Saccharomyces cerevisiae S288C: one gene and its partners. The gene in region 2 interacts genetically with the main gene of each other region. Each region holds a gene or a part of one and is shown on either strand. Other genes may lie near its edges.

Region 1 (5,032 bases), on a different chromosome or scaffold from region 2:
TAGGTTTTAGAGATTACGCACAGATGAAAGTGAATTAAGCTACTATTACATAAAATCAAGGTATCTTTCACAAGTTTTTCACTCAGCGAAAATTGCGAGACCGCTCGTGGAAGGTGACGATAATACGATACTTACAACTTTAATATTATAAATATAAGCATGTGGTGGAACAATATAGTCAGGCAAACTGCTAAAAGTCCCCACTTATAAACAGTGTGTAAAAAGTACGTTTGTTTTTGCTCCTTATCCTTTATTTGGCGTTTTGACAGTGAAGACAATGCCGCTACCGATGCGTTGGTTATATTAATTCCTCGATTAATTATACCATATTTTTGAATGTCCAGTGCAAATGAAGAATTTGTATTCGTAACTTCGTATGTCGGTAGGAAATACTGACCCAGGAACTCATTAATTGAATCGCTGCCTAACAGAGGCTCAACCTGCAGGTCTATCCCCTGCCAATTTTGAGAACTCTCATTAAGATATTTTTCAAACTGAGTGTTTGTGTCGTTAACCCAAAGATTTAGGATGTCCGTTGATTGCACTTTCAAATTGGGGTCAGTTTGAAGGCTTAAATTTGCTGTAATGAACTTTTCATTCACTTCCATTTGGAAATTTTCACACAATAATGATACGCTGTCATTAATGAAACCCTCTATCGTAGTTGTTATATTTCCATCTGTCCAAACTTCCCTTTTGTATAGCGAAGGTCCCGCTCTTTTGTGGAATGTAGGCAAACTGGGTACTTCAAAGTTTGTTAATCGCGTCACTATCTGCCAATGAATTAATAACATCAAAAAACCAAACAGCCACAGGTGAGCCCCATTTGAGATTATCCACCAGTTACAGTAAAATAGTTTTGATTTTTTGACTTTTTTGTCATCGATTTTTTCTGGTTCTCTTTTAAATATTTTTTGATTGATAAGCTTTGTTAATTGGTAGGGAATTGGATAAAGTGTACTGAGATTCAGAGTAGTAATTAAGCTTTTCAAAACTTTGTTGTATTTAGTAAAATTGGTTTGTCCTGTCAGGCCATTAATTTGGGACATAACCAGGTTTACTTGCTGATTTTCCAGCTGAAACAGAATTCTTTCGATTGCCATGAGCAAAATCACAAATGCAAAGTACATGACTGTGAAAATTATTGTCATTCTCTTACATTTACGGAAAACGTGATTTTTTACTGCACTTAGTACACTGTTTTCCTCGCTATTTGTTTTCAGAGACCGTTTAATTATTGAAGTAGACGATGTAACCTCGGTACTCCCCCCAGATAAAATGGAAATTTCATTCTGTAAGTTTGCAGTAAAGTTCCTTTTCAACTGAAGCCAGTCAGTGGAATTTCGTAGAAAATTCAAACTTAAGGTACTAGAGGTATCTAATTGAGTAGAAAAGTCAGTGATAGTGCCATTGAAGTTCTGCAATGATTTCAATTTCCTTGAGTAGTTCCCAAAAATACTGTCAAACATGGAGTAATTTAACAGTAGGTTTGATGCCATTTGTGAAATGGAATCCTTATCAATGGTCATTGCGTCTTCTGATATTTCATTCCATGTGTCATTTATCAGCTGTGATTTAGTGAGTAGTTCGTTAAAAATTGTATTGTTTACCTCAAGAACTTCCTTAATCAATTCAGTTTCCAAACTTATTTGGTCGTTGATAAGTTTTTGTTTATTATCCAGTATGTCGTCTGTGTATGACTTGAATTTTTCTTGCATATCCGTACCTACCGTAGATTCAATACTCCGTAGTTTGCTTTCGAAATACTGATCAATTGTATTATCAATGAATGTTTTATTTAAAGAGTAACTGTTGGCAGAATATATGGCATGCTGTGTTGTGACTGCTGTCATTGTGGCCGTTGTTGTGGCCGTTGTTGTGGCTGTCGCTGTAGCAGTTGAAATAGATGCAAAGGTTGAGACGGTATCATTTCGTTTGACCTGTGCGTGAGACATTTTTGCCATTGTAATGTCAATGACTGAAAAGGAACCCCAAATAGTTAAAATAACAGAAGTAAAGAATATCAGTAATAGAGGATGGAAAATACAACTAAAAAACCTCTGTGGAAGTGATAAAGGTTTAATTATGTGTACATTGTTCATCTTTGCCGTACTCTTAGTTTTATCGAAAAGTGGTGTAGATTTTCAGCTACTTAAGCCATGTTAGTGTTCTAGTTTTTTGCTTTACATGTTATATAAAGGGCCAAGATAGCATATGTAAATGTTTTATTACTGGGCTGAAACATTTTTAAAACATTTTTCAATAATGTGCTGTTATAACCGTACAAGGACGGTTATAATTCTGAATTAAAATGCTGCACCGAATGAAAATACCAATGTTCTTCCAAACCTATTGGCGAAAATTAAGATAAGCTGTCGCCTCTATAATCAAGAATAATCTCAACTATTATAAATATTATTCCCAGAAGTTGAAATTGTGACACATTTGAGTAATATCACCTTACACGGAACATAGTTGCCCCCTTCTCCGAAATTGCTGACAATGATAATCGGGGATTCAATGACAATGACAATGAAGGCAAAAGATTTTCATATTGTACTCTTGTTTTTTGAGTTATCACTTTCAAGTACCTTCTTGTTAACAGAAATAGAACCGCTATAGAGGTTATCGTGTATACGTATCTGTTGGTGTTTCTAAATCAAAAACTCGCTTTTAAAGCAGTCTTTCAATTGGAAGATTCAAAAGGATCTAAAAAGATCTAAAGTAGTAAAGAAAAAAGTATAAGCCCACACCTTTTTGGTAGGATAATGTTTACTGGTCAGGAGTATCATTCCGTAGACTCTAATTCCAACAAGCAAAAAGACAACAATAAACGTGGTATTGATGACACATCAAAGATCTTGAATAATAAGATACCGCACTCTGTTAGTGATACTTCTGCCGCCGCCACCACCACTTCTACTATGAACAATTCTGCTTTAAGTAGATCCTTAGATCCTACTGACATAAACTATAGCACAAATATGGCTGGTGTGGTTGACCAAATACATGATTATACTACTTCCAATAGAAATTCTTTAACCCCACAATATTCTATTGCAGCTGGAAACGTCAATTCGCATGATCGGGTTGTTAAACCCAGCGCCAATTCAAACTATCAGCAGGCTGCATACCTTCGACAACAGCAACAGCAGGATCAGCGACAACAGTCACCCTCTATGAAAACTGAAGAGGAATCCCAACTCTACGGTGATATTCTGATGAATTCTGGTGTCGTACAGGATATGCATCAGAATCTGGCCACTCATACAAATCTGAGCCAACTGTCGTCTACCCGTAAGTCCGCTCCGAATGATTCTACTACAGCCCCGACTAATGCGTCCAACATCGCCAATACGGCTTCTGTGAACAAGCAGATGTATTTCATGAACATGAATATGAATAACAACCCACATGCCTTGAACGATCCATCCATCCTGGAAACATTGTCGCCATTTTTTCAACCTTTTGGTGTTGATGTAGCACATTTACCTATGACGAATCCACCAATTTTCCAAAGTTCTTTGCCTGGATGCGATGAGCCAATTAGAAGAAGAAGAATATCAATCTCTAACGGTCAAATAAGCCAGCTAGGCGAAGATATTGAAACTTTGGAAAACCTGCACAACACACAGCCGCCCCCGATGCCCAATTTTCACAATTATAATGGTCTGAGCCAAACTAGGAATGTATCAAACAAGCCGGTCTTCAACCAAGCAGTGCCGGTTAGTAGTATTCCACAATACAATGCAAAAAAAGTTATTAATCCCACGAAGGACTCCGCATTGGGTGATCAGAGCGTTATTTACTCGAAAAGTCAGCAGCGAAATTTTGTAAACGCGCCATCAAAGAATACTCCAGCGGAGAGTATAAGTGATTTGGAAGGCATGACGACGTTTGCGCCAACTACTGGAGGTGAAAATAGGGGCAAATCTGCACTTAGGGAATCTCACTCTAATCCTAGCTTCACTCCAAAATCTCAAGGATCTCATTTAAATTTAGCGGCGAACACACAGGGAAATCCAATCCCTGGTACTACGGCATGGAAGAGAGCAAGATTGTTAGAAAGAAATCGAATTGCAGCTTCGAAATGTAGACAAAGGAAAAAGGTTGCGCAGCTGCAGCTCCAAAAGGAATTTAACGAAATTAAAGACGAGAATAGAATTTTACTGAAAAAGTTAAATTACTATGAAAAACTAATCTCTAAATTCAAGAAATTCTCCAAAATTCATTTACGTGAACATGAAAAACTAAATAAAGACTCAGATAATAATGTTAATGGCACTAATAGTAGCAACAAAAATGAAAGCATGACTGTGGATTCATTAAAGATCATTGAAGAACTTTTAATGATCGATTCAGACGTTACAGAAGTGGATAAAGATACTGGTAAGATCATAGCCATCAAGCACGAGCCATACTCTCAACGTTTCGGAAGCGATACTGACGATGACGATATAGATCTCAAGCCCGTAGAAGGTGGTAAGGATCCAGACAACCAATCATTACCCAATTCTGAAAAGATAAAATAACAAAGTTTTGGTGAGCACAACGGTGTTTCATTCAAGAATGATAAGGACAACTATATATGTAATATACGTGTATAAATACTCGAGCTGCATCCTTTCTTTTCTGCCGTTATTATTTCGTTTAGTTACTACATTTATGGTATAAATTACCTTTAAGACATTATTATTTTGCATGTATGAAATTTGCTCGTGTCAACCCCTTAGTCCTCCTTGCCTCTGTTGTATGGAGGAAGCCCTTTAAACCTGTATTTAGTTTTTTAAATCTATTAGAATTAAGTACAATTGTACAGATGGTAAAAAAAAGTAATCGTTATATCGTTTGTCAGTGATTTTTTTTTTTTTATTTCATTCATTATTTATTTCTTATTTTTCAATTTGTTCCCTTATTGGGGCAAACCACGGGTGTCCCATCGCTTCCTTAGCAGTTAATCTTTCTTGATGATCATATCTCAAAAGATTGTCAATAAGGTCAATAATTTCATCGTTGCCGCTTAAATGTTTAT
Region 2 (5,406 bases):
TGGAAGGAAGCTCTATTGATGCAGTTTGTCACACAGGAAAACCAAGCAAAAAAAAGGATGTGGCACCCAAGTTTGGGAAGGCAATGTCTGGATGTGATTCTCCCGTTATTTTAATGGAAGAAACTCTGAGATGGATTAAAGAAAATCTTAGAGATAAGATTGATTTTGTCATTTGGACGGGTGATAATATCAGACATGACAATGACCGGAAACATCCAAGAACAGAAGCACAAATTTTTGATATGAACAATATCGTTGCTGATAAAATGACAGAATTATTTAGTGCTGGCAATGAAGAAGATCCAAGAGATTTTGATGTGTCTGTCATTCCAAGTCTTGGAAACAATGATGTCTTTCCACATAACATGTTTGCACTAGGACCAACTCTACAAACTAGAGAATATTATAGGATTTGGAAAAATTTTGTTCCGCAGCAGCAGCAAAGAACTTTTGATAGGAGTGCTTCATTTTTGACTGAAGTTATTCCAGGGAAGCTTGCTGTCCTGTCAATTAACACGCTGTACTTATTCAAGGCCAATCCGTTAGTTGACAATTGTAATTCAAAAAAAGAACCAGGTTACCAACTTTTACTTTGGTTCGGTTATGTATTAGAAGAACTAAGGAGTAGGGGAATGAAAGTATGGTTAAGTGGACATGTACCTCCAATCGCAAAAAATTTCGATCAGTCGTGCTACGATAAGTTCACGCTATGGACTCACGAATACAGGGATATAATCATTGGAGGATTATACGGTCACATGAATATTGACCACTTCATCCCAACGGATGGTAAAAAAGCTAGAAAATCGTTATTGAAAGCCATGGAGCAATCCACTCGTGTTCAACAAGGAGAAGACAGTAATGAAGAGGACGAAGAAACTGAATTGAATAGAATTCTGGATCACGCTATGGCGGCAAAAGAAGTTTTTTTAATGGGAGCGAAACCATCTAACAAAGAAGCATATATGAACACCGTCCGCGACACATACTATCGGAAAGTGTGGAATAAGCTGGAAAGAGTGGATGAAAAAAATGTTGAAAATGAGAAGAAAAAGAAAGAAAAGAAGGACAAAAAAAAGAAAAAGCCAATCACTAGAAAAGAGCTCATTGAACGCTATTCCATTGTGAACATAGGTGGTTCAGTCATTCCAACTTTCAATCCTTCCTTTAGGATCTGGGAATATAACATCACCGACATAGTGAATGACTCCAATTTTGCAGTTTCGGAGTATAAGCCCTGGGATGAATTTTTCGAGTCACTAAATAAGATTATGGAAGACTCTTTGCTAGAAGATGAAATGGACAGCAGTAATATCGAGGTTGGGATCAACCGCGAGAAGATGGGCGAAAAGAAAAACAAGAAGAAAAAGAAAAATGACAAGACTATGCCAATTGAGATGCCAGACAAATACGAACTCGGCCCTGCATATGTACCGCAGTTATTCACTCCGACGCGTTTCGTCCAATTCTACGCCGACTTGGAAAAAATCAATCAAGAATTACATAATTCATTTGTTGAATCTAAGGATATTTTCAGGTATGAGATAGAATATACCTCAGACGAGAAACCATACTCAATGGATTCGTTAACAGTAGGAAGTTATTTGGATCTTGCAGGCAGATTATACGAAAACAAACCTGCATGGGAAAAATACGTCGAATGGTCATTTGCGTCTTCTGGATATAAAGATGATTAAGTTAATATACACATAGAAATGCATATCATTCTTCAATTACAGTTTCTTTTTCTTTTGTTACACTATTCTTTCAAGTCAATTTCATAATAATACAAAACCATCTTTCTTATCATATATAGGGTGATGTATTTTTAATTATTTAATAGGGCCTAGCGTTATCGTGCGAAGATTAATTATTGGCATTTTTGAAATACTCCTTGGAATCTTTAACGTCAGGTTTGATGGTGGCGGCTCCTGGGGTCCAGTTGCATGGCAAAACTGTACCATTTTTGTCAGTCCACTGGAAACCTTCGACTAATCTCAAAGCTTCATTGACGTTTCTGCCAACAGATAAATCATTGATAGTGATATGTCTAATGATTCCCTTCGGGTCGATTATGAACAAACCTCTTAAAGCTATACCTTCTTTTTCAATCAAAACGCCATAGTCTCTGGATAAGGAATGATTCTTATCAGCAAGCAAAGGAACTTTAACTGGACCTAATCCACCGTCTTTTCTGGGAAGGTTGGTCCATGCCAGTAAGGAATATTCAGAGTCGGTGGAGGCAAATAAAACTTGGGCGCCCTGATCTTCGAATTTCTTGGCGGCATCGGAAAACGCAACAATCTCAGTTGGACAGACAAATGAAAAAGCCAATGGGACAAAAGCTAGAACAACGTACTTACCTTTATACTTTTCCAGTGAAATTTCCTCGAAGATACCGTCGACTACGGCGGTTTTCTTAAATGGTGGGGCTTGTTTTTGAACTTCTGCTACCATGATTGGTTTTTTACGTTCTTGTAAGGCTAATATATTCTTGAGCAAAAAACAGTAATAGTGTTCACTTTGGATATTTCAAGATAAACAATGTAAGTAGCAAAAAACAATCGAAATTACAAAATATATTCTTACAATCGTCTGCTCTAAATACGTTAATCTAAATCTCATCCATAGTTGATCCTTGATTACTCGGGTAACAAACACCTTAGCAGATGTGTAAGAGAAAGGAGAGCCTCGCCCGCTCCTAAACGACGCCAATTGTAAGGGGGGATCAGCCCTTCCAACCCCCAATGACTAAAACTTGTAAACTAGAGGGGCGCATATAGTTAAGATAATCAGATACTGGCCCAATATGATATTGTCTAGATCTTGAGGATGACCAACCAACAGATTCCTGGCCACAGTATCCGTGGTCATTGATTTTGGCACTTGGAAATTCAAGAGATGGTTCTAGTCGTCGTAGCGCTTACTAACAAAAAAAACTAGCATAAGCCCGTTGAGAACTTTTACACTATATTAATTGAATAATTGGACGTTTTGTCGCTTTGCGACAGCACTCTCCTACCAGGTACATACTTAGTAATGTCTATATAGGGCTACATCATTTTTCTGCAAAGATAAAATCCTTCAATTCCTTGTAGGCCTTGTCCAAATCATCATTGACAATAACTTTGTCATGGGCACCTGTCTCAGCATATGCCAATTCAGCTTGAGCGGCGCTTAACCTCTTGTTGATGGATTCTTCGGTCTCCGTACCTCTACCTTCTAATCTTTTTTTCAAATCCTCGACCGATGGTGGAGCAATAAACAAAAACCTGGCATTTAACTCTGGGATAGCCTTGACAGATTTGACACCCTGCATATCAATATCTAAAATACAAGTCTTACCAGATTTACTGACTTGTTTGACGGAAGCGACAGTACTACCATAGTAGTTACCGGAGAATTGCGCCCATTCAATGAATTCATTGTTCTTAATCATAGATTTGAATTCATCTACGGAGACAAAGTTATAGTCCTTACCGTTTACTTCGCCAGCTCTTGGGGTTCTAGTAGTGGATGAAACACTAAACCCGAAAGAATCTGGGTATTCAGCGAACAATTTCTTCAACAGTGTAGATTTACCTGTACCACTTGGGCCAGAAATTACGATAGGACGGGACATAACGCAAAGGTTTACTAATCTTTATCCGAAGTAAACTGTAGTTATCAACTAAAAAGAAACGCCATTGTGTATCCATTTATGCTAAATGTATTTTTTTTTTTCTTTTTTATGTGTTTCCAAGCTTTTTTTCGAAATTTGGAATGTACCGATGAGTACGGTTGCTATTAGCATCGACGCCGCCGGAAAGACGCATCACATATTTCGAGAACCGAAACTTCCTGTCGATATAACCTACACTTCAAATAGCTATCATTTCGAATCGTCGCAGTTTTGACAATCACATTTATACACTTACTGTCGTTTTTTATGTAAAGGCTGTGAAAATTTCACCTTATTAATGCTTATAGAGCAGAGTTTAGGATGAATTTTGCATTGTAGCCTGCCGTGAGCACACACAAGGAGTAGCAGAGCAGTAGTCTTGCCAAAGGATTATGACAGATGATATACCTTGCACAAACGTGATAGCAAGGAACTGCAAAAGTTGATATCGAACAATCATTATTCACGGTGTGACTTTTTCTGTTTCCGTTGCTTTTCTAGCTACTCTAAGATAAAGGGCACCCAAGATTGACAAATAGTTGTAGATTAAACATAGATTGCAAGCAGTGAAATTCAGAGGATAATCTTTTATCGCTGTCAGTACATACCATATGAAAAATGCTATCCAAGGTATTGCTGAATATAGCTTTCAAGGTGCTGTTAACCACCGCCAAGAGAGCAGTTGATCCTGACGATGATGATGAACTTCTACCTTCCCCGGATCTCCCGGGTAGCGATGACCCTATTGCAGGTGATCCTGATGTAGACTTAAACCCTGTTACAGAAGAAATGTTCTCTTCATGGGCATTGTTCATTATGTTGCTCCTATTGATCTCTGCATTGTGGTCTAGTTACTATTTAACTCAGAAACGAATTAGGGCAGTGCATGAAACTGTGCTTTCTATTTTTTATGGTATGGTTATTGGCTTGATAATAAGGATGTCCCCCGGGCATTATATTCAAGATACGGTTACTTTTAATTCATCCTACTTTTTTAATGTTCTATTGCCGCCAATTATTTTAAATAGTGGGTACGAGTTGAATCAAGTGAACTTTTTCAATAATATGTTATCTATCTTAATTTTCGCCATACCGGGCACCTTCATATCTGCTGTGGTTATTGGAATCATATTGTATATCTGGACCTTTTTAGGACTAGAGAGTATTGACATTTCATTCGCAGATGCAATGTCTGTTGGTGCTACATTATCTGCTACCGACCCTGTTACAATTCTTTCAATTTTCAATGCGTATAAAGTGGATCCTAAGCTATATACCATCATTTTTGGAGAATCACTGTTAAATGATGCCATCTCTATTGTTATGTTTGAAACCTGTCAAAAATTTCATGGTCAACCTGCAACATTTTCGTCGGTTTTTGAAGGGGCAGGCCTCTTTTTGATGACTTTCTCCGTTTCGTTGTTGATAGGCGTTCTTATAGGAATTCTTGTTGCTCTTCTGTTGAAACACACTCACATAAGGCGCTATCCTCAAATTGAGAGTTGTTTGATCTTGTTGATTGCTTATGAATCCTATTTTTTCTCCAACGGTTGCCATATGTCCGGTATCGTCTCCTTGTTATTTTGCGGAATTACTTTAAAACATTACGCCTATTATAACATGTCAAGAAGATCACAGATCACCATTAAGTATATTTTCCAACTATTGGCAAGATTATCAGAGAATTTCATCTTTATCTATCTAGGTTTAGAACTTTTTACTGAAGTAGAACTAGTCTATAAGCC
Region 3 (5,682 bases), on a different chromosome or scaffold from region 2:
TCATAGCCATTCCGATGGGGAAGGCCAAGATAGGCGGTCGGAACATGAAGAAACGCATAGCATGGGGGCTGATGCCGATACATATCGACAAACTACGTTTATCCCAGACACACCAAATGGTTTGCATTCTAGATCATTAATTGAGTGTGGGATCGAACCCACCCAAGTAAGTGACTCTGGTGAATGGTCGGGTCAAAGTAACGGATATGTTTTGGTGACAGAATTACAGGAGTTTAACAAAATGGGTAAAAAGTTAGTACAAGAAGCTTTTAGGATAGTTTAATAAAGTATGGTTTGTCGTTTTGTTCATCATTCAAGGGTCATTTTTATTTCCATTTATGATTTCTTGAGTACAAAAGGCAAAAAAAACATGTATAATTATACACAAGAAAAAAAAACAAAACAAAAGAACACTTTCACACAAGCAAGTATATATTATGAGAATTTTTTCGAGTCTTACAGAACCATATCTTGCCTCTAAATTTTAGTCTAAAAATTTTGCTAGCCCATCAATTTTTTTTTTGTTCTAATGCAAAATATAACATGGGTAAGAAAAAGAAAAAGCCGTTCCTCAGTACGTAAAGAGATTTGATCATTAACAAGTTGGGCTCAATATACACAGTCGATAGTCTATATGTGCATATGAAACTGGCGCAAGACATGAATGTAGATGAAATATTTCTCAAACAAGCGGCAGAAGCTATAGCGGTAATCTCATCAAGTCCCACTCATACGGACCCCATAATACGAGAGCTACTCCACAGAATTCGACAATCCAGCCCATTGAGCGCAGTTATACCAGCACCAGAAAATGTTTTAAAGGCTGGGGAGCCGGAAAATATGGCTAGAGGTCTTATAAGGATTCCAGAAACACAAACAAAAAGAACAGGAGGTAACAACCATAGCAAGGAAGGCGCACAGCTCTACAGCTGTGCGAAATGTCAGTTGAAATTCAGCAGAAGTTCTGATCTGAGAAGACATGAAAAGGTACACTCACTCGTGCTGCCGCATATTTGCTCAAACTGTGGCAAAGGGTTTGCCAGGAAGGATGCTCTAAAAAGACATTCTAACACACTGACCTGTCAAAGAAACAGAAAGAAACTAAGTGAAGGTTCAGACGTTGATGTAGATGAGCTCATCAAGGATGCGATAAAGAATGGTACCGGCCTGTTGTAAGGCTAGAGGAAAACGTATTTGTCTCCATCAGCACACCTACACATACATATATAGATAGATATATACTTTAGCCATTGAGATAAGTAGAATAAAAAAACGTTGTAATATTCCGATACAGTTAGTGACATGTTCTCTACTTTTGCCAATTTTTTGCGCACAAAGTGGTGACGTACAAGTTCATCATTTCACGTGTGCAGCATAGTGTGGTATATTGTTTTTTTATATTTTATTTTTTATTTTTTTTTTTTTGCAGAAAACAGTGTTTGTATTATATGCTTTAGATATGCTAAAAAAAATGAAAAAAAATGGAACAAAATATGTGTTTTTTTATTTAACGTTAAAATTAAAGATTAAGTTATTTATTCGACGTCAGCATCAAAAGTTTGACCTTCAACTAACTCTGGAATAGCTTCATCCTTCTTTTCAGCATCAGCTGGAGCCTTGGCTTCGTGCTTTTCCATTTGGGCAGCCAATTGAGACAAGGCTTGGATGGCTTCAGGGCCCAATTGAGAGATAATACCTGGGAACAAATCTTGCAAGTTCTTTTCCTGTGGTAGACCGTAGAATACAGAAGTGTTGTGTTGAGCAGCAACTTGGACACCGACCTTGTTGAAGTGCATGACCTTACCGTCGTCCTTGAAAAAGTTGGCTTCGGCGACGTTGTCAATGGTGACAGCGTGCAACTTAGCTAATTGACTTTGCAACTTGGTGTCATCCTTGTTGGCACCGGCAGAAGAGCCTGCCTTCTTGTTAAGCTTTCTTCTAGTACCACCAACTTTGTTGTTAGCAGACAACTTTTGTAGCTTAGCTAATTTTTCTTGGTCAATTGGCATTATGAATTATGAGTCGCGTCTGGTGTGAGATGTTCTATTCTTAAACCTCCCTAGAAAGAATATTCGCTCTCTTGTGACAAAGGAGGGGTTACTACTTAACAAGCAATTGCAGCTGTTTCCACTACGAAATCTTCCAATGTCAACGAAAAAAATTCAAAAATTTTCTGCTTTTTTTTTCAACATCTGCCGTACTAAATGATTCCACAATAATCCATCATATACCATTACCCTGATTCCCATCGAAGAAAAGGCGGTGTCCCCTTACCCGTCCGCTCATGCCAAGAGATTAATTCATAACCGCTCTTCCTTGGATCAGAAGTGAACATATGAAGTTGCAACTACTACATACTTACTACCGTAGTCCATCATCAAGGACCCAAACATTCACGACTCCAGCGCGCCACGTTCTTCGCCATACTGCTTAACATTTTGGTACGAGTGCGAATTAGGGAAGTCGATGATAAAATAGAATATGCGAAAAAGAGGAAGAGCAGCCGTGAGAAAAAAGAAAAAAAAAGGCCTAAGGTATTCTCTACTCCAAAATCGTCGAGGGAGGGCAAAAGAAATTTTTTTTGTTTAAGGGAATTGCGAAGTCAATTGATTGATGAAGTAGCTTCTCTGGAAAAATGGCGGACAGACGCTGCTCAAATAACCGTCGAAGGGGGAAAGGTTATCGGTGGAAACATATTTGTAAGTACATAATAGTGAATTTACTTCTTGTCGGCGTCCCCTAAACGTAATTGGCGGTGTGATGGTACTTCGTTATATAAAGGTGTGTAATATCCTCTTTTACCATCTATTATTTCTTCCAGCATTTCTTGCTGGATAACCTACTGTATCCAAGCTACTGGGCTTTTTTAAACATACCCATAACTTTTTTTTTTTCATTTTTCGTTGCTGTGTGCTAGTACAATTTAAGCAAAAGGAAACTGTTTTGCGTTATGTCTTCCACTGAAGCAAAGCAATACAAGGAGAAACCCTCGAAAGAGTACCTCCATGCCAGTGATGGCGATGACCCTGCAAATAATTCTGCCGCTTCTTCGTCATCTTCGTCTTCTACATCAACTTCCGCCTCGTCATCGGCTGCAGCCGTTCCACGGAAGGCCGCAGCCGCTTCTGCCGCTGATGATTCTGACTCAGATGAAGATATAGACCAATTGATTGATGAACTACAATCTAACTACGGTGAGGGTGATGAATCTGGTGAAGAAGAAGTACGTACTGATGGGGTGCACGCTGGCCAAAGGGTTGTTCCTGAAAAGGACCTTTCTACGGACCCTGCGTATGGTTTGACTTCGGATGAAGTCGCCAGGAGAAGAAAGAAATATGGGTTAAATCAAATGGCTGAGGAGAATGAATCGTTGATTGTGAAGTTTTTGATGTTCTTCGTAGGGCCTATTCAATTCGTTATGGAGGCTGCTGCTATTTTGGCTGCCGGTTTGTCTGATTGGGTTGATGTCGGTGTCATCTGTGCTTTACTGCTATTAAACGCATCTGTCGGATTTATTCAAGAATTCCAGGCAGGTTCCATCGTAGACGAGCTGAAAAAGACGTTGGCCAATACTGCAACAGTTATTAGAGATGGCCAATTGATCGAAATTCCGGCTAATGAGGTAGTTCCTGGTGAGATTTTGCAATTGGAAAGTGGCACAATTGCTCCCGCAGATGGTCGTATTGTCACTGAAGACTGTTTTTTGCAGATCGATCAATCGGCCATCACTGGTGAATCCTTAGCCGCTGAAAAGCATTACGGTGATGAGGTGTTCTCCTCATCCACTGTGAAAACCGGCGAGGCTTTTATGGTTGTTACTGCCACTGGTGACAATACCTTCGTCGGTAGGGCTGCCGCCTTAGTGGGGCAGGCTTCCGGTGTAGAGGGCCATTTCACTGAAGTATTGAATGGAATTGGTATTATCTTACTTGTTCTAGTTATCGCTACTTTGTTGTTGGTCTGGACCGCATGTTTCTATAGAACGGTCGGTATTGTAAGCATTTTGAGATATACTTTGGGTATAACCATCATTGGTGTCCCAGTCGGTTTGCCAGCAGTTGTTACCACGACCATGGCTGTCGGTGCAGCTTACTTGGCTAAGAAGCAAGCCATTGTTCAAAAGTTATCTGCTATTGAATCCCTTGCTGGTGTTGAGATTTTATGTTCTGACAAGACTGGTACTTTAACCAAAAACAAGTTATCTTTACACGAACCCTACACTGTCGAAGGCGTTTCTCCGGACGACTTGATGTTGACCGCTTGTTTAGCTGCCTCTAGAAAGAAGAAAGGTTTGGATGCTATTGATAAGGCTTTTTTGAAGTCATTGATTGAGTATCCAAAAGCTAAAGACGCCCTGACCAAGTACAAAGTTTTGGAATTCCATCCGTTCGACCCTGTCTCAAAAAAGGTTACCGCTGTTGTAGAATCCCCAGAAGGTGAAAGAATTGTTTGTGTCAAGGGAGCCCCATTGTTTGTCTTGAAGACTGTTGAAGAAGATCACCCAATTCCGGAAGATGTGCATGAAAACTACGAAAATAAGGTTGCTGAACTAGCTTCTAGAGGTTTCCGTGCTTTAGGTGTTGCTAGAAAGAGAGGGGAAGGTCACTGGGAAATCTTGGGTGTTATGCCATGTATGGACCCCCCTAGAGATGACACCGCTCAAACAATCAATGAGGCCAGAAACCTTGGTTTGAGAATCAAGATGTTAACCGGTGACGCTGTTGGTATCGCGAAAGAAACGTGTAGGCAATTAGGACTTGGTACAAACATTTATAACGCAGAAAGGTTAGGTCTGGGAGGTGGAGGTGATATGCCTGGTTCAGAGTTGGCTGATTTTGTTGAAAATGCCGATGGTTTCGCAGAAGTTTTCCCACAGCATAAATACAGAGTCGTTGAAATCTTGCAAAACAGAGGTTACTTGGTTGCTATGACTGGTGATGGTGTTAACGATGCCCCATCTTTGAAGAAGGCTGATACTGGTATTGCTGTCGAAGGTGCTACCGATGCTGCCAGATCAGCCGCTGATATTGTTTTCTTGGCCCCTGGTCTCTCTGCTATTATTGATGCCTTAAAGACTTCTAGACAGATTTTCCACAGAATGTACTCCTATGTTGTTTATCGTATTGCCCTATCCTTACATTTGGAGATTTTCCTGGGTTTATGGATTGCTATTTTAAACAACTCTTTGGATATCAATTTGATCGTTTTTATTGCTATTTTCGCAGACGTTGCCACTTTAACTATTGCTTATGACAATGCTCCTTATGCTCCTGAACCTGTGAAATGGAACCTACCAAGATTATGGGGTATGTCTATTATTTTGGGCATAGTTTTAGCTATAGGTTCTTGGATTACTTTAACCACCATGTTCTTGCCTAATGGTGGTATTATCCAAAATTTTGGTGCCATGAATGGTGTCATGTTCCTGCAGATTTCACTAACTGAAAATTGGTTAATTTTTGTCACTAGAGCTGCTGGCCCATTCTGGTCTTCCATTCCATCGTGGCAGTTAGCCGGTGCCGTTTTCGCCGTTGATATTATTGCTACCATGTTTACCTTATTTGGCTGGTGGTCTGAAAACTGGACTGATATTGTGTCAGTCGTTCGTGTCTGGATTTGGTCCATTGGTATTTTTTGTGTATTGGGAGGATTTTACTATATTATGTCCACGTCTCAAGCCTT
Region 4 (7,463 bases), on a different chromosome or scaffold from region 2:
ATTATTTTGTCAATTTTTTCTCTTCCCATTTCAGCTTTTTTTTAATAACTGAAACTGGATCAACAAGCACATGTTTTTCTAATTAATCTTTCAAACATATTTATGTATATACATAAGGAAAATTCAAAAATCCGATGCAATTAACAGAATTCTTCTTCATAGTTCTCTTCATCCATTCTTTCGTAGAATAAGACGTATACCTCATCGCTAGACATTTCTGTTTTGCCGGCTTCAAAGTTGTTGCGATCCTTGCGATGTTGCTGTATATAATCGTCATCAAATGTAACCCAAACTTGTCTATTCAGTCCAATTTCATGGCTCTTTTCTTTGTTCACAACAGAAGTATAGTGTCCATTGATAAGGTTACCGGAATGATTCACCGTTCCATATAACTTGTATCGAATCACTTTACCGTTCTTTAAAATAATGTTCAATATCAAAGGGTAGGTTATTACAGTGCTGTTTTTTTTTGTTAAATCATAATAGAACCTTGATAAATGAATGACAAGTATCGGAGGTAAAACTATAAAGTCTAAACTCTTAATCGTGGTTAACTTTTTAGAATTTCGCTTCTTTGCATTTTTTGTTGAATCATCGCTGCTATGGTGATGATGGTGATGATGGTGGGGTGATTTTGACCTTGATCTGGAATGAAAACCGAATATGGTTGATTTTTTCTTCTGGCTAGTAATTTCTTCTTTTTTGGATTTAGAATCAGTAATTCTACAATTAGGACAATCCCAAGCATTGTCGCCTGACAGTTCTTCATCGCCTGTAAATAAGTTTATGCAATCCTCTAATTTAATTTTTCTCGACTTACTTGTAAAGCTATACAATGATAGTTTTGGAATCGCAAGTGACAGAACATAGAAGGTAGAATAGCTATAAGAAGAATTACCACAGCGCTGACATTTCAAAATGTTCTCCAACTGCCCTCGATATATGTGATCAATTGGAGATAAACCATCAGTAATAACATTTCTCTCGTACCATTTCTCGTATTTGGATGGGTTAACTTGTAAAGCATTCGCATCATATGACACTAGATCTGGATAATACTTGACAACATTTTCGTTCGAGAGCTCTTCATGTATTCGTGCTAAAACTATTAGTAGAAATTCCTGTGTATCCTGTTGATCATCTGGGATGTTCAAATCTGGCCTTAACTTCTTGCACATTTTTAAGAATCTATTTGGTATAATCGCTCTTCCTCCATTCAAATACATTTTTTTGAACAAAACGTAAATCGAGCGGGAAAGTTGGACTTCTTTCGGATATTTGTTAGTATTGAGGAATAGCCTATATTTCTTGGTTAAAAACAAATCCCGAAATAAGGTAGTGCCAAACAGACATTGAATTATACTGTTAATATAGCATGTATTGCATGGATTTTGCAGGCCAGTAATAGATAACTCTGATAACAGATCATTAGAATCTTCAATTACTGGTAGATTGTAAGCTTTCGGGGCCGAAGATTCTATGGCCTCGATCTTTCCTTCTTCCTCCTTTGGCTTTTCCACCTTGGATAAAGAGGATGAAGAATCTTGGCTAGAATCTCTGATTTGTGACGAAACCTCCAAGGAGTGCACGGGGGGAGCAGTTGCTGGACTAGACAGCGTTTTGAATAATGCATCCTTTCCAGTACTGAGTTTTAAATACGAGGGTTTTGATAATGCTTCTTTGCTTGTGTAGTACGCCACTTCAGAACCAGCTTCCAATTTATTACTTGATGCTATCTGATTACTTTCCCTGACTATGTCCTCTTTCGAATTATCATTTGTTGGTTTTGTTAGCTCATTCGGTATTTCATGTAGTGAGCCATCAAACTTGTTATGTATTGACAAAGAGGCCATATGAACAGGTAAAGGCCGTAGCGGTAAGGAGTAGGCTCTTTTTCTTTTTATGGTCCTGCAAATTCCGTTTGACTCCGCTAAATACCGGTCAACAATAACAGTACTTTCATCTCTTACCACTTTTAACACATAACCCATCACGTGTTCGTCTTGATAGTCGTTTTTTAGCTTTGCGTAACTGCTGTAGAGATTATTTCTTGTTTGGAATTGTAACGATTGTGGAATAATAAGGTACAGATAATAACAACCAATAATAAATGCTGTCAAAGCTTCCATTTCCTGATTGATTTCTAAATCCCTCAGGTAAACATTAAACAGATGAGCAGCATGGTCTAACAATCCTCTTAAGTTCTTTAGCCGTAATTGCGAATAAAACTGTTTAATATCTACTTCATATACTTTTCGAACTAGGTTTAGAATTTGATCTGGGTTTAATAACATTGTCTTTATGACTTCCGATTTAGCGAAAAGAAAACGGAAAGTAAGATCAATGCCACGGTTATTTAGTTTACTGAAGATCCTGAAAGACTACTAGCAGTAGCAGTAACCTTTCAGAGCTTATAATCAACCTAATGATTACTCAGCGCACAATCTAAAAGGGTTTCTCAACTAATTCTCGAAGAAATGTCAATCCCTTTTTTAAGCACTCCGGAAAAACTTTATAATAGATGTGGGGAAATCACCTTTGACGATGTGCAACGGAGAAACTATTTTTTTTTTTCTTTTTTTCTTTTTTTTTTTTTTTTTGGTCCGAACAATGCGATGAGCCAGACGAAGAAAAAAATAAAAAATGAGAATGAGTAATTATGTTAAGACCTTTAGAAGAAATAGGGTCCAGTCACAGAATAAAGCCCCAGGAAACTTTAAAGCAATCGAAATTAACCAGCTATATTTATATAATAAGAAATTTTTCTTATTAGTTTACTATAAAGGACTAGTGTACGTTTTTTGTGTTTAATTATTTGCTTTCTGATAATCCGGTTTGCTGATTTGAATCGTTCTCTGCAACAATTGTTGATCTCTAGTGGGGTAAACAAAATTAGTTTTGTTTAAAACTTTTGTTGTAGCGTTTTTGCTCTTTTTTTTTTATCGCAGAATACATTTTATCGAGAATGTCGAATATAAGTACCAAAGATATACGAAAAAGTAAGCCAAAAAGAGGATCCGGCTTCGATTTACTTGAAGTGACTGAATCACTTGGCTATCAGACACACAGGAAAAATGGAAGAAATTCATGGTCAAAGGACGACGATAATATGCTACGATCGCTAGTAAACGAATCCGCAAAGGAGTTAGGCTATGAGAATGGACTTGAAGACGTAAAAACAATTCAACAATCCAACCATCTTTCTAAATGTATTGCTTGGGATGTTTTAGCTACACGATTCAAACACACCGTAAGAACTTCAAAGGATGTAAGAAAGCGTTGGACAGGATCTCTGGACCCAAACTTGAAGAAAGGTAAATGGACACAAGAAGAGGATGAGCAGCTCTTGAAAGCTTATGAAGAACATGGGCCTCACTGGCTGAGTATCTCCATGGATATCCCTGGAAGAACAGAGGATCAATGTGCGAAAAGGTACATTGAAGTGTTGGGACCTGGAAGTAAAGGTAGATTAAGAGAATGGACGCTCGAGGAAGATTTAAATCTGATAAGTAAAGTGAAGGCATACGGCACGAAATGGAGAAAGATTTCGTCGGAAATGGAATTCAGACCAAGTTTAACGTGCAGGAACAGATGGCGGAAAATTATTACTATGGTTGTGCGAGGACAAGCATCAGAAGTAATAACAAAGGCTATAAAAGAAAACAAGAACATAGACATGACAGACGGAAAACTCCGACAACATCCAATCGCCGATTCTGATATACGCTCAGATTCTACACCGAATAAAGAAGAACAGTTGCAGCTATCTCAACAGAACAACCCTTCATTGATAAAGCAGGATATATTGAATGTTAAAGAGAACGAATCGAGCAAACTACCAAGATTAAAGGATAATGATGGACCCATTTTAAATGACAGCAAGCCACAAGCATTACCTCCCTTAAAAGAGATATCTGCACCTCCACCAATCAGGATGACGCAAGTCGGTCAGACTCATACCAGTGGTAGCATTAGGAGCAAAGTATCTTTACCAATTGAAGGTCTTTCTCAAATGAACAAGCAAAGTCCTGGAGGAATCTCAGATAGCCCACAGACAAGCCTTCCCCCAGCATTCAATCCAGCATCTCTCGATGAGCATATGATGAATAGTAATAGTATTTCAGATTCTCCGAAGCATGCTTATTCTACTGTGAAAACTAGAGAACCAAATTCCTCTAGCACACAATGGAAATTTACATTAAAAGATGGTCAAGGTTTGTCAATTTCTAACGGAACTATTGACAGCACAAAATTAGTAAAAGAATTGGTTGACCAAGCTAAGAAGTACTCTTTAAAAATTTCGATACATCAACATATTCACAATCATTATGTTACATCCACAGACCATCCTGTCAGCAGCAATACTGGATTGTCAAATATAGGAAATATAAATGGAAACCCTCTATTAATGGATAGTTTCCCACATATGGGTAGACAACTGGGAAATGGTCTTCCAGGGTTAAATTCAAATAGTGACACTTTTAACCCAGAATATAGGACTTCTCTGGACAACATGGATAGCGATTTTTTATCAAGAACACCCAACTATAACGCATTCAGCTTGGAAGCAACTTCACACAATCCCGCTGACAATGCAAATGAACTTGGTTCACAAAGCAATAGAGAAACAAACAGCCCGTCTGTATTTTATCCTCAAGCAAATACATTGATCCCAACTAATTCTACCGCTACAAATAATGAAATCATTCAAGGAAACGTTAGTGCTAATAGTATGTCACCGAATTTCAATGGAACAAATGGCAAGGCACCAAGTTCGACGGCATCATATACAACGAGCGGTTCAGAAATGCCACCTGATGTAGGTCCTAATAGAATAGCGCATTTCAACTATTTGCCACCAACTATACGGCCTCATTTAGGCTCATCAGATGCGACAAGAGGTGCTGACTTGAATAAGTTACTCAATCCATCTCCAAATTCAGTAAGAAGTAACGGCAGTAAAACTAAGAAAAAAGAAAAAAGAAAAAGTGAATCATCTCAGCATCATTCTTCATCATCTGTGACAACCAATAAATTCAATCACATTGATCAGTCGGAGATATCAAGGACTACATCCAGATCTGATACTCCATTGAGAGATGAAGACGGCCTGGATTTTTGGGAAACGTTAAGATCCTTGGCTACTACGAATCCAAATCCTCCAGTTGAAAAGTCAGCTGAAAATGATGGTGCCAAGCCTCAAGTGGTACATCAAGGGATTGGCTCACATACAGAAGATAGCAGCCTAGGTTCCCATAGCGGAGGATACGATTTTTTTAACGAACTGTTGGATAAAAAGGCAGATACACTGCATAATGAGGCTAAGAAGACGAGCGAGCATGATATGACGTCAGGAGGTTCTACCGATAATGGGTCAGTCCTGCCACTGAATCCTAGTTGAGAAGGCAAGGCCGAAAAAAAACACAAATCTTTCAATTGTTTAACATATTAGTTTTGTAATAAGCATAAGTGTATATTATACATAGCACAAGATGGATAATATTCTCTGAAAAAAACGTGTAGTTTCATGACTCGCATTTTTTTTTTTTTTTCTTTCATGTTGATTAACATACTTGAATTCTGTATTTAAGCTGTATAAAAAGTTGTTCTATTTCATATACGGCGATTTTGCATAATTAAGAACTTTGCCTTGTACACTATTTTACTAGGGTATTCTTCCAAGATTTCTCTTCTTATTTTTTCCCTTTATAAGTCATTGTAGCAACATAATTTCCTGGAAATTTTAAGGGAATATATTTCTTTCCGCCCACAAACACAAAGGGCGTTTAGTAAATTATGCGGCGATGTATAAAAGAGAAAGCAGGCAAAAAGAAAATGAAAAATGAGACTATGAACTTTAAGAATTATGTCTTGACTAATTTTTTAAAACCCATCATCCATGAAGAGTTCTGTTTGTATTGTTTACGTTTGATGTTTGAAGTGAATTTAATAGAATTGTTCCTCTTTTTTTCTTCTTTTTTTAACTATAATATAATGTTTAGTATATCAACAGTACTATTTAGGCCTTAGACTTTCTATGAACTCTCTCTTACTCTGTGAGTAGTTGGTAAATTCGTTTTCGTATTGATCTTCCTCAGCAATTTCCCCGATATTGCCCACATCATAGTTATTCTGTAATTTGTATAAATCCTTATCTTTATCTGTTATTGCAGACCTGCTATCCTTTACCGAGTGGTCAGCATCCATTCCTTCGTTATCTTTATCAAAAGTGTTTGGTAACTGTGATTGAGCCGCACTTTTGGGTGTTGCAAACACATCCTCTAGGGCATCGCGCTTATTTACCGATGTTATAGAGGAATTCCTTGTATGGAAGGACGCGTTTGAAATGTTACCATTTAAAAACGAGGATGAAGCTCTCCTTGGGTAATACGAACCAAAGTCCTGATTCTGCAAATTTCTTATCAGATTTTCATTACTAGATTGGCGAGTATTATGTTTAAGTTCTATCATCGAAGCTTTGTTTTGGTCATTGCTAGTATTAGTATCACTGGAAGGATCTGCGAAAAAGTTTGGTCCTTCATCAGAAATAACAGGGACCATCTGATCATAAACGCTGATCTGTCTCTTTGTTATATGCCGTTGGGAAGATGATAAGGAAACATTGGAGCTGTTATTTATACTTGGTAAATCCACAACGGACTTCTGCCTGGCATTATTGCCGTAGTTATTATTTCGTACTTGAAGTAAATTTATTTTCCTACGGTATGCTGGCACATAGTATTTACTATTCTTTTTCCCTAACGGTTTCTCTTGATCTCGCGATTTTCCATCTTTTTCTTCTGGATGAGCAGATCCTTCCGATGAACCAGAAGTGTGATCAGGATTTTTTAGCTCGGAGCTGGCTAGTGCTGCTTCATCTTTACTGTCTCTTAAGGGTCCAAAATTGTCAAAGGACACGAAACCACTTTCATCATAAATAGCCCTTTCCAATTCTCTATCGTCTTGTTCCTCCCTCTTGTATCTTTTTTGTAGGTTAAACCAGAAACATACTGCTATTATAATACCTACACCGACGGGTATACCCACCGCACAACCCACCGCAACTGATGTGCTGGCAGTCATCTCTTTTACTTCTTACTACGATGAGCTCCCAAAAAAAAAATATATCCCTGATAAATAACACAAAACTAAGAAGCCGGACCTAGGTGAAGAGTAAAATAAGGACTCGAAATTTTGTCTAATACTCAATAACTCAGTACAAAAACTGCCTCACAGTATAAAATATCCAACTTAGAGATATTCGTTTTAATTGTCCCGAGCAGGCAAACGATAACTGATCCTTAGTCACAATAATAAGTCTATGCTTTCTGTTGAAAAAGAACAAATAGCGAGCGAGTCAGCAAGCAGAATCTAAAGAGGCTTGCAACGAATGGTAGGCAAAGAATTTCTAACCCGAAACCTCAAGCGAATGGTGGATTCCTTACTTCCAATCTTCTAAAAGT

Evidence for each region.
Region 1: mutations in TSA2 (region 2) and CST6 together harm fitness more than expected from each alone (negative genetic interaction), as found in Saccharomyces cerevisiae (2 studies listed by BioGRID).
Region 3: mutations in TSA2 (region 2) and EGD1 together harm fitness more than expected from each alone (negative genetic interaction), as found in Saccharomyces cerevisiae (2 studies listed by BioGRID).
Region 4: mutations in TSA2 (region 2) and BAS1 together harm fitness more than expected from each alone (negative genetic interaction), as found in Saccharomyces cerevisiae (2 studies listed by BioGRID).

The regions. Positions count from the first base shown.
Region 1 is NC_001141.2:282,898-287,929, forward strand, and holds CST6 (Cst6p), read left to right. Parts: upstream 1-2,768; coding exon 2,769-4,532; downstream 4,533-5,032. Other genes in the region: pheromone-regulated protein PRM2, read right to left, coding at 132-2,102; casein kinase 2 catalytic subunit CKA1, read right to left, coding at 4,893-5,032. UniProt on the Saccharomyces cerevisiae protein: Transcriptional activator of promoters containing ATF/CREB sites. Can independently stimulate transcription through ATF/CREB sites. Important for a variety of biological functions including growth on non-optimal carbon sources.
Region 2 is NC_001136.10:1,363,206-1,368,611, forward strand, and holds TSA2 (thioredoxin peroxidase TSA2), read right to left. Parts: upstream 2,458-5,406; coding exon 1,867-2,457; downstream 1-1,866. Other genes in the region: PPN1 (endopolyphosphatase), read left to right, coding at 1-1,697; GUK1 (guanylate kinase), read right to left, coding at 3,059-3,622; bifunctional K:H/Na:H antiporter NHX1, read left to right, coding at 4,280-5,406. UniProt on the Saccharomyces cerevisiae protein: Thiol-specific peroxidase that catalyzes the reduction of hydrogen peroxide and organic hydroperoxides to water and alcohols, respectively.
Region 3 is NC_001148.4:479,893-485,574, forward strand, and holds EGD1 (Egd1p), read right to left. Parts: upstream 2,010-5,682; coding exon 1,536-2,009; downstream 1-1,535. Other genes in the region: YPL039W (uncharacterized protein), read left to right, coding at 1-283; YPL038W-A (uncharacterized protein), read left to right, coding at 290-481; MET31 (Met31p), read left to right, coding at 643-1,176; H(+)-exporting P2-type ATPase PMA2, read left to right, coding at 2,951-5,682. UniProt on the Saccharomyces cerevisiae protein: Component of the nascent polypeptide-associated complex (NAC), a dynamic component of the ribosomal exit tunnel, protecting the emerging polypeptides from interaction with other cytoplasmic proteins to ensure appropriate nascent protein targeting.
Region 4 is NC_001143.9:632,886-640,348, forward strand, and holds BAS1 (Bas1p), read left to right. Parts: upstream 1-2,965; coding exon 2,966-5,401; downstream 5,402-7,463. Other genes in the region: ubiquitin-specific protease UBP11, read right to left, coding at 141-2,294; SKG1 (Skg1p), read right to left, coding at 6,016-7,083. UniProt on the Saccharomyces cerevisiae protein: Activates HIS4 transcription only in combination with PHO2/BAS2. BAS1 is also involved in the regulation of the purine biosynthesis pathway.